Arabidopsis thaliana: one gene and its partner. The protein of the gene in region 2 binds, or shares a complex with, the protein of the main gene of each other region. Each region holds a gene or a part of one and is shown on either strand. Other genes may lie near its edges. The genes, in order: AT5G11770 and AT2G20360. A codon is read from its position in the direction of its gene.

The links.
Region 1: the proteins of AT2G20360 (region 2) and AT5G11770 are in contact, whole or in part, in a cryo-EM structure (PDB 8BEE), measured with the Arabidopsis thaliana proteins. Residues at the interface, in NP_565469.1 of Arabidopsis thaliana: Arg100 (codon at 2,980), Gly101 (codon at 2,977), Ser102 (codon at 2,974), Glu103 (codon at 2,971), Asp104 (codon at 2,968), Arg107 (codon at 2,959), Lys110 (codon at 2,950), Leu111 (codon at 2,947), Lys122 (codon at 2,794), Thr151 (codon at 2,594), Arg152 (codon at 2,591), Asn153 (codon at 2,588), Phe154 (codon at 2,585), Pro330 (codon at 1,290), Phe331 (codon at 1,287), Pro332 (codon at 1,284); in NP_196738.1 of Arabidopsis thaliana: Arg140 (codon at 2,504), Glu148 (codon at 1,355), Arg150 (codon at 1,349), Trp151 (codon at 1,346), Asp176 (codon at 1,271), Arg177 (codon at 1,268), Ile178 (codon at 1,265), Val179 (codon at 1,262), Pro180 (codon at 1,259), Val181 (codon at 1,256), Asp182 (codon at 1,253), Lys205 (codon at 1,184), Arg208 (codon at 1,175), Arg209 (codon at 1,172), His214 (codon at 1,157), Trp215 (codon at 1,154), Trp216 (codon at 1,151), Asn217 (codon at 1,148), Lys218 (codon at 1,145).

The regions. Positions count from the first base shown.
Region 1 is NC_003076.8:3,790,009-3,794,927, forward strand, and holds AT5G11770 (NADH-ubiquinone oxidoreductase 20 kDa subunit), read right to left. Parts: upstream 3,019-4,919; 5' UTR 2,922-3,018; coding exon 2,500-2,921; intron 1,375-2,499; coding exon 1,140-1,374; 3' UTR 700-1,139; downstream 1-699. Other genes in the region: AT5G11760 (stress response protein), read left to right, coding at 1-291; AT5G11780 (SNF2 domain protein), read left to right, coding at 3,920-4,682, 4,824-4,882. UniProt on the Arabidopsis thaliana protein: Core subunit of the mitochondrial membrane respiratory chain NADH dehydrogenase (Complex I) that is believed to belong to the minimal assembly required for catalysis. Complex I functions in the transfer of electrons from NADH to the respiratory chain.
Region 2 is NC_003071.7:8,783,897-8,790,078, reverse strand, and holds AT2G20360 (NAD(P)-binding Rossmann-fold superfamily protein), read right to left. Parts: upstream 4,120-6,182; 5' UTR 4,010-4,119; coding exon 3,907-4,009; intron 3,778-3,906; coding exon 3,681-3,777; intron 3,195-3,680; coding exon 3,130-3,194; intron 3,013-3,129; coding exon 2,927-3,012; intron 2,807-2,926; coding exon 2,722-2,806; intron 2,609-2,721; coding exon 2,538-2,608; intron 2,327-2,537; coding exon 2,195-2,326; intron 1,916-2,194; coding exon 1,800-1,915; intron 1,706-1,799; coding exon 1,582-1,705; intron 1,506-1,581; coding exon 1,437-1,505; intron 1,330-1,436; coding exon 1,209-1,329; intron 1,121-1,208; coding exon 981-1,120; 3' UTR 509-980; downstream 1-508. Other genes in the region: AT2G20362 (uncharacterized protein), read right to left, coding at 1-307; AT2G20350 (Integrase-type DNA-binding superfamily protein), read right to left, coding at 4,683-4,873, 5,025-5,310. UniProt on the Arabidopsis thaliana protein: Accessory subunit of the mitochondrial membrane respiratory chain NADH dehydrogenase (Complex I), that is believed not to be involved in catalysis. Complex I functions in the transfer of electrons from NADH to the respiratory chain.

The DNA of each region.
Region 1 (4,919 bases), on a different chromosome or scaffold from region 2:
AACAACACTGAAAGCCGACCTAGGACGAGAATTCTCAGTAACGACACGGGACCCCGATCCAGGACGAGACGACTCCTCAGGACGAGACGACCACTCAGGACGAGAACTCTCCGTAACAACAGGGAAAGCCGACCCAGCTCGAGTATTTTTAATAACGATACGGAAGATAGCCGACCCAGGAAGACAACTGAAGACGGGTTACGAGTGTTCACGGAAAATGAAATTGGTTTCAACAGGAAAGATGCTGGTGGTACTCGTTTTTGTCCCTTTGACTGTTATTGTTGCTTCTAAATCTTCTTAAACCATTTCGTTTTGAACCTTTTGTTTTATGGTGCCAAAGGAGATTTAACTCGTTCTGCTATTAATGGATGTATGATCTTATAACTTAAAACCATATTTTTCGTTCTTGTTCATGTTTGATGAGAAAAAAAATTACATTTTACTCTCTACCTAGTTCTGCTCTAGTCTGAGGAAATATCTGTCTTTATTTACTCGAAGGATTAAGATTTCTTATACATGGAATTTTGTTTTCCAGCAACTATAATGTATACCATCTTAATTTGTTCTTCCCTGTCAAAGCCATTATGTATGACTTATGGTCTAAACTCTAAACCATTTGTGTAGTAGTCTGCAATTAATCGATGGAAAAAAATTCTATCTTTAGTAAAAACATCAAAAGTATAAGTATGATCAAAATTACTTTTTCACAATATGTAAGGTTAAGAGTAACAATAGATGAGACTGAAAAGTGTATTCACCTGAAAGCATCAAGAGTACACAACGACCAAACATTATGCATGTCAGACACTCGTTTGTCCGTACTAAGCTTTTGTATTGTACTGTATAAGCTCTACAAAACACACTCGTATGTATAAATATATGTAGGTATTTAGCAATAGTCAGCATGTAGCTGAAAACTGGTAGAGAGAGATATATAATAAAAGAGCCCATAAAAGAACTCAGACAACAAACATCTTAAGTTTATTAAGTTTCCACAACAAACTTAGAAACACACTCCTTTACATGGCATCTCCACCACAAAGAAATATGCAATGAAACGTCCACGATTTATTATCCCCAAACTTTGGTAAAAATGTCTGAAAAAAGTCCCTTTCACGATTGGAGGACGGGTTCGAAGCTCACTTGTTCCACCAATGCAAGAAATCCTTGCGCCTGTTGATTTTCTTCTGAAGCTGGAGTAGTCCATAGAGCAAAGCCTCAGCGGTTGGTGGGCACCCCGGGACGTATATGTCGACTGGGACAATTCTGTCACATCCTCGAACCACCGAGTAGGAGTAGTGATAGTATCCACCTCCATTGGCACAACTTCCCATTGAAATCACCCACCTTGGCTCAGGCATCTGGTCATAAACCCTGTGATTGTATTCAAACATTAGAAGTTGGAATTTCACACAGGATAAAGAAGAACAGAACCATAAATCATTTGAGTTGATCCGCATATACAACTTCTCTCAATCTTACCAGATCAAGACTGATTTCTGCACATATCTCTATATACTAGTTTCTGACTAATAGTTAAATTCAGTATAAGAACTAATCTAAACCAACTTAGAAAGCAGTTAATCATCTCCCGAATGCATCTAAAATGTGCTCGTCTTATTGGTTGATGTTTACACAACCTCTAGCTATTAAGATTGACTTGGGATATTTTCTAAGTGTCTGGGCCTAAAGTTATCATTAATATAAGCACAGCAGCCATTGGCATACGTTTCTTAACAACAGGATTCTCATCTAAAGAACATAAGTTCTACACTTGAATGAAGACTTCATACATCAAACAAAAAAAAGAGGAATCTCTTAAGTGTGCCGGATATCAATTTCCTATAAAACACACACCAAGCAGAAAATATGTGCATCAAGTCTCAGATTCTAACTAAGCAAAATCATCACGCAAGATTCTAATCAGTCAACAGACGGAACTACAAAACAAGATAATGAAAACATCATAACAATGAACCTCCAACCTCTTACTAGTAAGACACTAACACATGTTTCCCTAATGAACACCAAGCTAGAAAATCTGAAATTCCTAACTCCCCTCAAAAGACGGGCACAGAGCTCACATAAAAAGAGATATAACTCCACCATATTTGTTCATCCCTTAATTAAAACGCTCCCAATTTCATGAAATTCGAACAAAAAACTTGACGAAACACTAGTTAAATCTGCGCTAGACAATGAATACGAACTGTATAGCTTCCCAAGTCATTCTTATATCCATACAGCAATTCTCAATTTGTCACAGACCTAGCAATACAATCAGAATACATGAACCCTAAAATCGCCGGAAAAGAATAAATTCCAATAGAAACCCCCAAATTATATCCTCCGAAAACCTAATTCAGAGGCCTCTAAAGCAGAAAACGCACAAAGTGAAATTAGAAGAAATCTTCCCACGACAAAACTATATCCGAGATCCAAAGATATAAATCAGCCGTTAATTCCATGAATAAGGGAGATAGAGAAAGATAAGCGTACTTGCGAAGAGCCGGAGCCATCTTATTGGTAAGAGTACCGGCGACAATCATACAATCAGACTGGCGAGGACTAGGCCTGAAGATGATACCGAATCGATCGAGATCGTAGCGAGCAGCACCGGTATGCATCATTTCGACGGCGCAGCAAGCGAGACCAAAGGTCATAGGCCAGATCGATCCGGTACGAGCCCAGTTCATGAGATCATCGACCTTGGAGATCACAAATTCGGCCGCTTTAGAGAGACCAGGAGGAGGAGGGGAGGTCGAAGGAGGACCAGGTCTGGTGTAGGAAGTCGGTGATGTGGAGGGAGAGAGAGCGGGAAGGGATGTGTGGAGGTGAGAGACCGAGGCAGCGGCGACGGCGCGTTGAGATTGGAGGAGGAGAGGGAGGCGCGTGGCGGTGTTGCGCGTAATCATCGCCATTTAGATTTGTCTCTCTGAGTTTTTTTTTTCCTCTCGTCGTGGAGTTGTGATAACCAAACGAGTCTCTAACCATTTACTAAACGCAGGTGGCGAAGTATTTATATGACTCGTAATCGTATCATTTTTTTTCACCTTTTGTACAGTATTTCATTTATTTCATAAAACAATGACTTGGCAATAATAATTTACTCTTGTAACTTTCTCATTACAAAAACTATTTAGACAGAAAATTTATCAAATCTTTAAAAGTATTAAGTTTTTGATTGTGGTTGTATGACTCGTGATATCAAGAAAAGGAAGAAAAAAAAATAGATAGAAAATTTATATGGAATGTGTAGAGCCAATTGTATTTTGATATGAATTGGAGAAATCACATGATGTATAACAGTATAATTAGGAAAAATCTTTCTATTTGTTTTAAAAATTCATGTTCGTATTTACGACGTTTTAAGTCTTTTGTTCATAGGGTTTAGATTCTGGAGAAATCACTTTTTCGTAATTACGAAAACTTTATTTTGTCTGTCGGTTTAAGTTTCTCTTGATTAGAAGTTGTATTTTAAGATGATTCTACATAAGTTGTATTGATAAAGTTTCATATGACCAAAAAGAAAAGAAGTAGAAAGGCTAAAAATGGATCAAGTCATAGCATTTTCTCTTTATTTCTTTTAGGCAAATTAGCTGATTAGCCAATTTTCGAAATTTGCATTTATCCTTACTTCATAAATCATTTAGTAACTAGCAATTTTCGTTAATCCACACTTATAAATCATTTATCGTATTTGCCATAATGAAAATAAAACAAATATACTAGTAGTCTTGTACGTTTTTGGAGTGAACTCAATTTGAAAATGTAATGTACACATTTTTTTTTTATGTTTAACATTGGGATTCCCTCTCTTTATTCGTTCCCTTTTCTTTGAATTTCAATAGGGTTTCTCTGTTTCCTTCCAACTTCCCAAAATTCAAAATCCCTTCTCTGTCACCGGAAAATTCCCAAAATGCAACCTCCGATTTGTAAACCCAGACCTCAGAGTCACCTCGAATTTCTGAAACCGCTTCTCAATGACTCGATCAAGCAGCTCTTGTTACAGTACCGAGGCGGACGAACCAATTTCTCCGATTTCGACTCCATTTTCACTCGTATTCTTAACGATCTTCCCGAACCACCACCTCTCGAGCTCGTCTGGTTCTACTCCGCCATCAGATTCTACTCTTCCAAGTTAGCTTTCCGGGATGATTCCGTTAGGTTAACTTCGTGTTTCTTCCAGCTGATAGTTTCGTTTTCCGATTCGTTTTCCGGTGTTAAGAAGGTATCGCTGTTATCTCCCGTTGTTTACCAGTTGAGTCGTTTAGTTATTTCTAGGAGGAGAGATGCTTTGAGCTTGTTAGAAGGGATTGTGAGCTATATTAGCATGTACTGTGTCGATGAACCTGGAAATGAAGATGATGATGTGTTGATGGTCTCTGGGTTTAGTTTTGCTGATTTGAGTCGAGTTTGGGTTGTGGATGAAGTGGAAGATAATTGTAGAGTTGAGGATTGTTTGGAGGTGTTCATGCCATTTGCTAGTGAAATTTTGCGTAAAGAGATCGATTCTGAGTCCTGTGGCGTTGGTTACTTAGCTGGAATCGTAGCTTCTCAGGTTTTCTTGCTCAGTTTGTGCTCGAGGTTTGATTTGGACTTAGGTAGATCCGAGCTAGATAAAGATCTGCAGGAATCTGTGCTTCAGATGATATCTGGGTTCCACAGTTGCTTCTTTTTTGGTGAGTGTTACTTTTTCTTTAGCTACTTTGCATTCTGTGGGAAATAGAGAAGCATTATGTGACTAGTGACTCCTTTTTCATAAGCTTCCAGATGTCTCAATTGGTTTTGTTTTCAATCATGTGTTCTTGTTCTTGTGACAGATGTCATTCTCAAGATGCTGCTGGAGCCATATCTGCATCTAACTTCATTAATGGGAGTGGTTGGTTCTTTGACTAAACTATGTATAATCTATTTAG
Region 2 (6,182 bases):
CCAAACATAACCCAACCTTAATCAAGGTCATCTCCTTCTGTCTAGATATGGTATCGTCGCGGGTCATTTTAACGTCATCTATATGGAGATGAACACCAGGATCTCTTAGCTTAACCTTGCTACCGATCAAAGCTGAACCACATGTTGCTTGAACATTGCTGTTCACGTAGATATTGATCCTGCAACCACTTTGACTCGCTATGTCTACATCCCTAGGCGCCACCATCACCGCACCAACATTTCTCCCGTTTAAGTTTATTCCACCACTGCCAGATTCGGGTTCGGGATAGTCTCCGTCATCTTCCATTTTGGTACAGACTGCAAAAATGAGTCTATCCTGTCTCTCCAGAGATGATATTTGCTCTATATGCTTTGCTTGGTTCTTGGGGTTCCCTAAAGTTCTTTACTTTTTCTATAGCCAGAAGCAAAGTGAATTATTCTACGATTTGCATAAACTAGATTCCTTACCCACCCCTAAATTAAGGATACCGAAGGCCTCAAGATGGGTTAATGGACATCAATGTTTCATTACTGGGAGATAACGGAGTCGAAATACCTTCTTGACCATGTAAAGGAAACTTCAAATTACTCAGGGTTTAACCTCTATTGCATACAGATGCATGTTGATACGTTTTGTCGTAAGTAAAACATACAACACCGAGCTATATGTAATGCAAAGATGAAAGCATATGGCTTTAGTTTTACTCAAGGGAAGTAGTACATGGAGTTCGAAACGAACCAGACATTGCATAAATCCTAAGGGACCAACCACATCAAGAAATATATTGTCCCCTCTCTAACTTATAATGATGTTGATGTGTTATAATTTTTTCAAGAACACAACAAAGAGGAGGACCCGTTTATTATTGACAGAAGTAAATGAAAGTCATCAACATAGCAAATCTGGTTTCCGCAATCTCATTGTGACACTTGCATGAAAAAATTAGTCCAGGAAATGACCTTTGAGCAGAGAAGCAGCATCAAGGGTAGAAGTCTGTTGGTATCTTTTCACTGACAGTAGAACCGAAGTTAGGACCACCCTTGCGATATTGGATAAGAAACTCGACCGGATATCCCTTCAATTTATGGGGGACAAGGTCCAGATCCTGAAACTTCAAGGCTGAAATAGCCATTGTTGTACAATAAAAAGTGAGACTCAATTAACTCAAGGAAAATAACTCATTTCACTTCTATGAATAATGACTAACCGTTGTCAGATACAAGTGTATCGGTTGTAAGTGCATTGATTTGATCCAGGTTGAAGATCTGAGGAGAGGGTAAGGGGAACGGGACTTTGTTCACCATGAAGTCTCGAGGAGCCGCCATTGCCTGGAACAGATTGTGACATATGTGAAATTAGTATTACAGTATTTCAAGAGGAAAACAAAAATTCTTTGGAGTTTCTTCCATGGACAGTGCACGATTCGATCTTTTACCTTGGCAATTGGAAACGGAAGCTTCACATACCGAGGCCATTCACGAATCATATCATACATGATCTCTGCCTGCAAGACATACTTGGAAATCAAACCCACTGAGCTAGGATAGTGACACAGAGAATGAAGGATTAAAAGAATTTACCAACTCGTGAGTGGTAAAGACATCTGGACCACCCAATTCGTATGTTTTCCCCATGCTGGAGCCATCATCCTTTAGAGCAGCAACAATCGCAGCAGCAACATCAACCACATAAACAGGCTGGAATCTGCAGTAGAGTTATCGTTAGGGACGGAACTAAATCTACATTTCAAGTTGCTATGAACCAGTGAAAAGAATTGCACAAAGAATTCAAGACGTACTTGGTGGTTCCACCACCTATGAGCGGGAGGAAACCATATTTTTTAACGAACATTGACCAGGGGTTCAAGATTCTGTCTTCTGTACCAATCATGGTTGCAGGTCTCATGATGGTTGCCTACAAAACACATATATATCATGAACTGACTAGAAGCAGCATGCTGATGACAAAAAGTTTATATTAACCATCCCAGGTTCACTTTTGCTTTCAAAATTTATAAGGTTTTAGAATTTAATAATAACATCATATACGGTTTTCCCAGTTCTGCACAAAAAAATCTAAAGGATCTTTCTTTTCTCTGAAAAAGAAGCAGGACCATGAATATTGAATAAAATATTACGATGATAATAATTACAACAGAGAGAGTTATGTGTACCGAAAGCCGGGTAAGTATACCTCAGGCAGTGCGTTCAAGACAGCTTCCTCAGCAGCAGCTTTTGCCCTCAGCATTCTTGAAGGAGATGACACAGAAGCTCCTAGGCAAGAAACTTGAATATATCTCATTATCCCACCGTGTTCCTTGGCCACCTGAAACAACATATCCACAAAGTCCAATCTAATCAGAAATAACCAAAAGAGCAAACCATAGCAGATCGTATCATCCCAAAGGTTAAAAATGTGTAGCTCATTGCAGATGTAGGCAACATTCTGAGGGGTAAAAAAATGGAAACCTGTTCACCGGATTTTTTGGAAACAATTCAAAAGATGATTCGCATTTTGTCAGGATTCAAACACATACCAATGCAAGTTTCTCAGCAATATGATGATTCGCATCTTCAAAACTGAAATTTCTTGTCTCGTACTCTCTTCCTGAGGAGTAGAATAAATATCATCCAAAATGGAAAGAACAGTGCTACTTTTTTAATGGTTTTAAGTTTAACTATACTTGCTAGAAAAAATTAAGATAGACAACAAAATATCACCAATTAGATTGATAACGACATTAGCCTTGGCCATGACAGCCTTAATCGAGTCTTCATCTCTTGGATCAAATTTCATTGGTACCACCTGGAATATACAGGCAACAAACACACATCAAATTTGCCGATCCAATGCATAGTTTTTTGTAAAGATGTTTTTTTGTTGCATACCCTCGAAAGCATTATGTTAAATAAAAGAATACATTACCTGTCCTAAATCTCCCATCAACTTGAGATGTCGAGGAGAGTCCTCTGAGCCTCGGAAAGGAACAAGCACTTGTGATCCCATTTTAGCTAGTAGAAAAGATTCACTCGAGTTTAGCAAGTAACAAAATAAAATCAACAAATGTACAAAATAAAAAACAAGATTGATTTACCCAACTGGTAATACCAATGATAAACCCAACTCACCTAGCTGCTGCACAAGATAACGACCCAGAAATCCTGTGGCTCCAAATACTGTAGCTACAATGCCACTGCCAAAGCAAAGGAGAAATTAAGATTTTCATATACTTCTTTTCCTCTTAACAGAAAACTCTCGAAAAAACTACAAATTAGCTGTGCTAAAGCTACCAAAAACCCCTTAAAGATGATACATTTCTCCGCAAAGGCAAGTAATTTACAATATCTATCCTCTAAGCTCGAAACTTAACAAAAGATATACAGAATAAGCATGCTTTAACATAACACGGCAAGAACATTTCTCATTCCCATGACAAACGGAACAGAAAGCTCTCGAGAAAAGTTCACTAAACTGAAGCTACTGCAAACCCATTAGAGACGATACATTTCTCCATGAAGGAAAGTAATTCATGAAAGCTATCTCTTAAGCTCAAAACTAAACAAAGCTATAGACTAAGCCTACTTAAATCCTAACAGAGACCAATATCGTTTCTCCTTCCTATATGAATTCTCAAACATTTTCTAAAGGAAACAAACCCTAAAAAAGAGCAATGGCATACCTTACGGAAGATCTCCCACCAGTACCCTTGCGAGCGAGGTGTCCCACGCCCTTAGTAGCGAGGGAAGACGAATAGCGACAATTATCAGTCCCATTCACTAATTAAAATCAGAGGAAACACACAAAATCATTAAAAACACAAATCTCTCATTAGCCCGAGACTCATAACATAAGTAACCTAGAAATCCCAATTGATATAAGAAAAAAATCAATGGCAGAAACTTAACGGTGATTAGAGACTCCGTAGAGCGATCTGAGAGAAGAAGATGAATAGATCGAAGCTCCTCCGACGAGAGGCCGTTGAACTAATCTCCTGGAAACTACTTGCATCCTTCGTTCTCAGTTACACGATCGAGACAACAAATACAGATGTGAGAGAGAGAAAGAGGAAGAAGAGGAGAGAAATGGAATACAAGAATTTGCTGCCTCGAGGATACAAGCAAATGGGCCTGGGCCTTGACAATATCTCATTGGCGACGATAAGTAACACCTTTAAAATGAAACCACGTCACTTTGTGTTGGTCCGTATTACGTAAGCCCATTTATTAGTGAAACGGCACCGTATGACAAATATTACTATTGGATTACCTTTCTTGTTAATCAAAGTTTAAAGTTATCATAAATATCATAACAACTTGATTGATTTTTATATATGCTTACAATTGTGTTTGCTTGTATATTATCTCATGATATATATAATACGTCTAACTATAAAATATAGACTTTTCTTGTCATTGGTCACAATAAACCCAAACCAAATAGATTATAAAAAAAAAAAAAAACACACACACACACACAATTGAAAGACAAAAAATGAAGTAAGATACATAAAAACACACTCACAGTCACGACTGAACTTGATAAGTCTTGCGTTAGCAATATTTTGTTTTACTTTATTTTATTACCAAACAAAATAACGTTTTTACTTTTCAAAAAAATTCTGATTTACTTGTGAAGCAAGTAAGATGCCTCTTCCTGCCTTTCTATACGTGCTCCTTCTCCGTTAATTTTTCTCAGTCGTCTTCTTGGTAGATGCTTCCTCTCCGTTCTTTGTGCCACGTCTTGCTGATCTTCTTCCGACAAACTCAGCCGCCGCATCGTTGTAAGCCTTAGCCGCCATCTCCGCTGTTGGAAACGTTCCAAGCCATCTCCTTACTTTCAAACTCGGATCCCATATCTCCGCCGCCCATTTACCTGATGGTTTATGAAAGTACATCAACTGCATGCTAACGTATTGGAACATAGTTTACCTCATGGGCTCGTGGCTTATATATATATGAAAATACATGAACTAAAACTAGCTAGTACTAGAAAAACTCAAAGCTTGTATTAGAATAGAACTTACCTGATGGTTTTTTCCTCACTCCTTTGTGCTTCTTCTCCTTCTTAATTATCGCCTCGTGTCGTGGGAAGACGCAACCGTAGCAGCCGGTGACACTACAAAGAGGACAAGGGCCAGCGTTCAAAGGTGGAAGATCAGCTTCCCATGCATTCGAGTTCGTGTCACCTCCGACGTTGGATATTACTTGTTGCAAAGCAGAGACCATGATCACATGTTCTTGATCTCTCGTCAAATTAGGAGTGAAATTGATGTTTTGATCGTAAGAGGGAACATTTTCTGAATTTTCCATTTCCGCGGAGTCGTTGAACTGAAAATAATTCGTTGCTCACGGTCACTGAGAAGTGTTGAAAGTGTTGTGAAGATTTCAAAAGAAACTACTGACGAGTAAGCAAAAAAAGGTTTATATGGTACTAGACTACTAGACATATGGTCCCATGCAAATCTTTAGATACGCGGCACCAATTAGTGTTGTTTTTTTCCTTTGAGAACGATACATCTGTTCAGTAGATATTTATTTTCTGCAAAAGCGATTGCTATATTTATTCGATACACTACTTACTAATTATTATTAGTCTTGACACCGAGTAAACCAAATATACTTCTTAGTCAAGATATTTTCAACTACCTTATTTAAGTCAAAATACAGTTGGATCCTATTATATAATGGTTTATTTTGTAATCTGGACTGCAAATATACACATTTTTTTAGTGTTTAAAAGTTGAGTTTCATTCGTAACAATTGGATAGGTGTAATTTCATTGTTTTAAAAATCATTTTATATTTTGCAATACTTTTTCATAGGTTAATACGATGGTTGTATACTTGTATGTATCAGTCCTTGGATTAATTTTGCCCAATGACATTCTATCTATAATACTTTGTTCTATCCTTTTTGCTCTTTTTTTTTTCTATCTTATATATCTAATCTACTCTTTTGATTTAGCATTACATTGTGCAACGCTATACAAAATGGAACCATATGTTTTCGAGCTTTTTGAAATATTTTTGGGGGTTATTTCTGTTCTGTTAAGATATATTTCATTTGCAGTGCTGGTTTTGGTTTCTGTACAAACAGTGAGTCAATAATTAAGGAAACAAGGTACTCATATTCCAGTGCTTTAAGTCTTTATTCATATACCAAGTTGTTATGAGAGTCTCCCT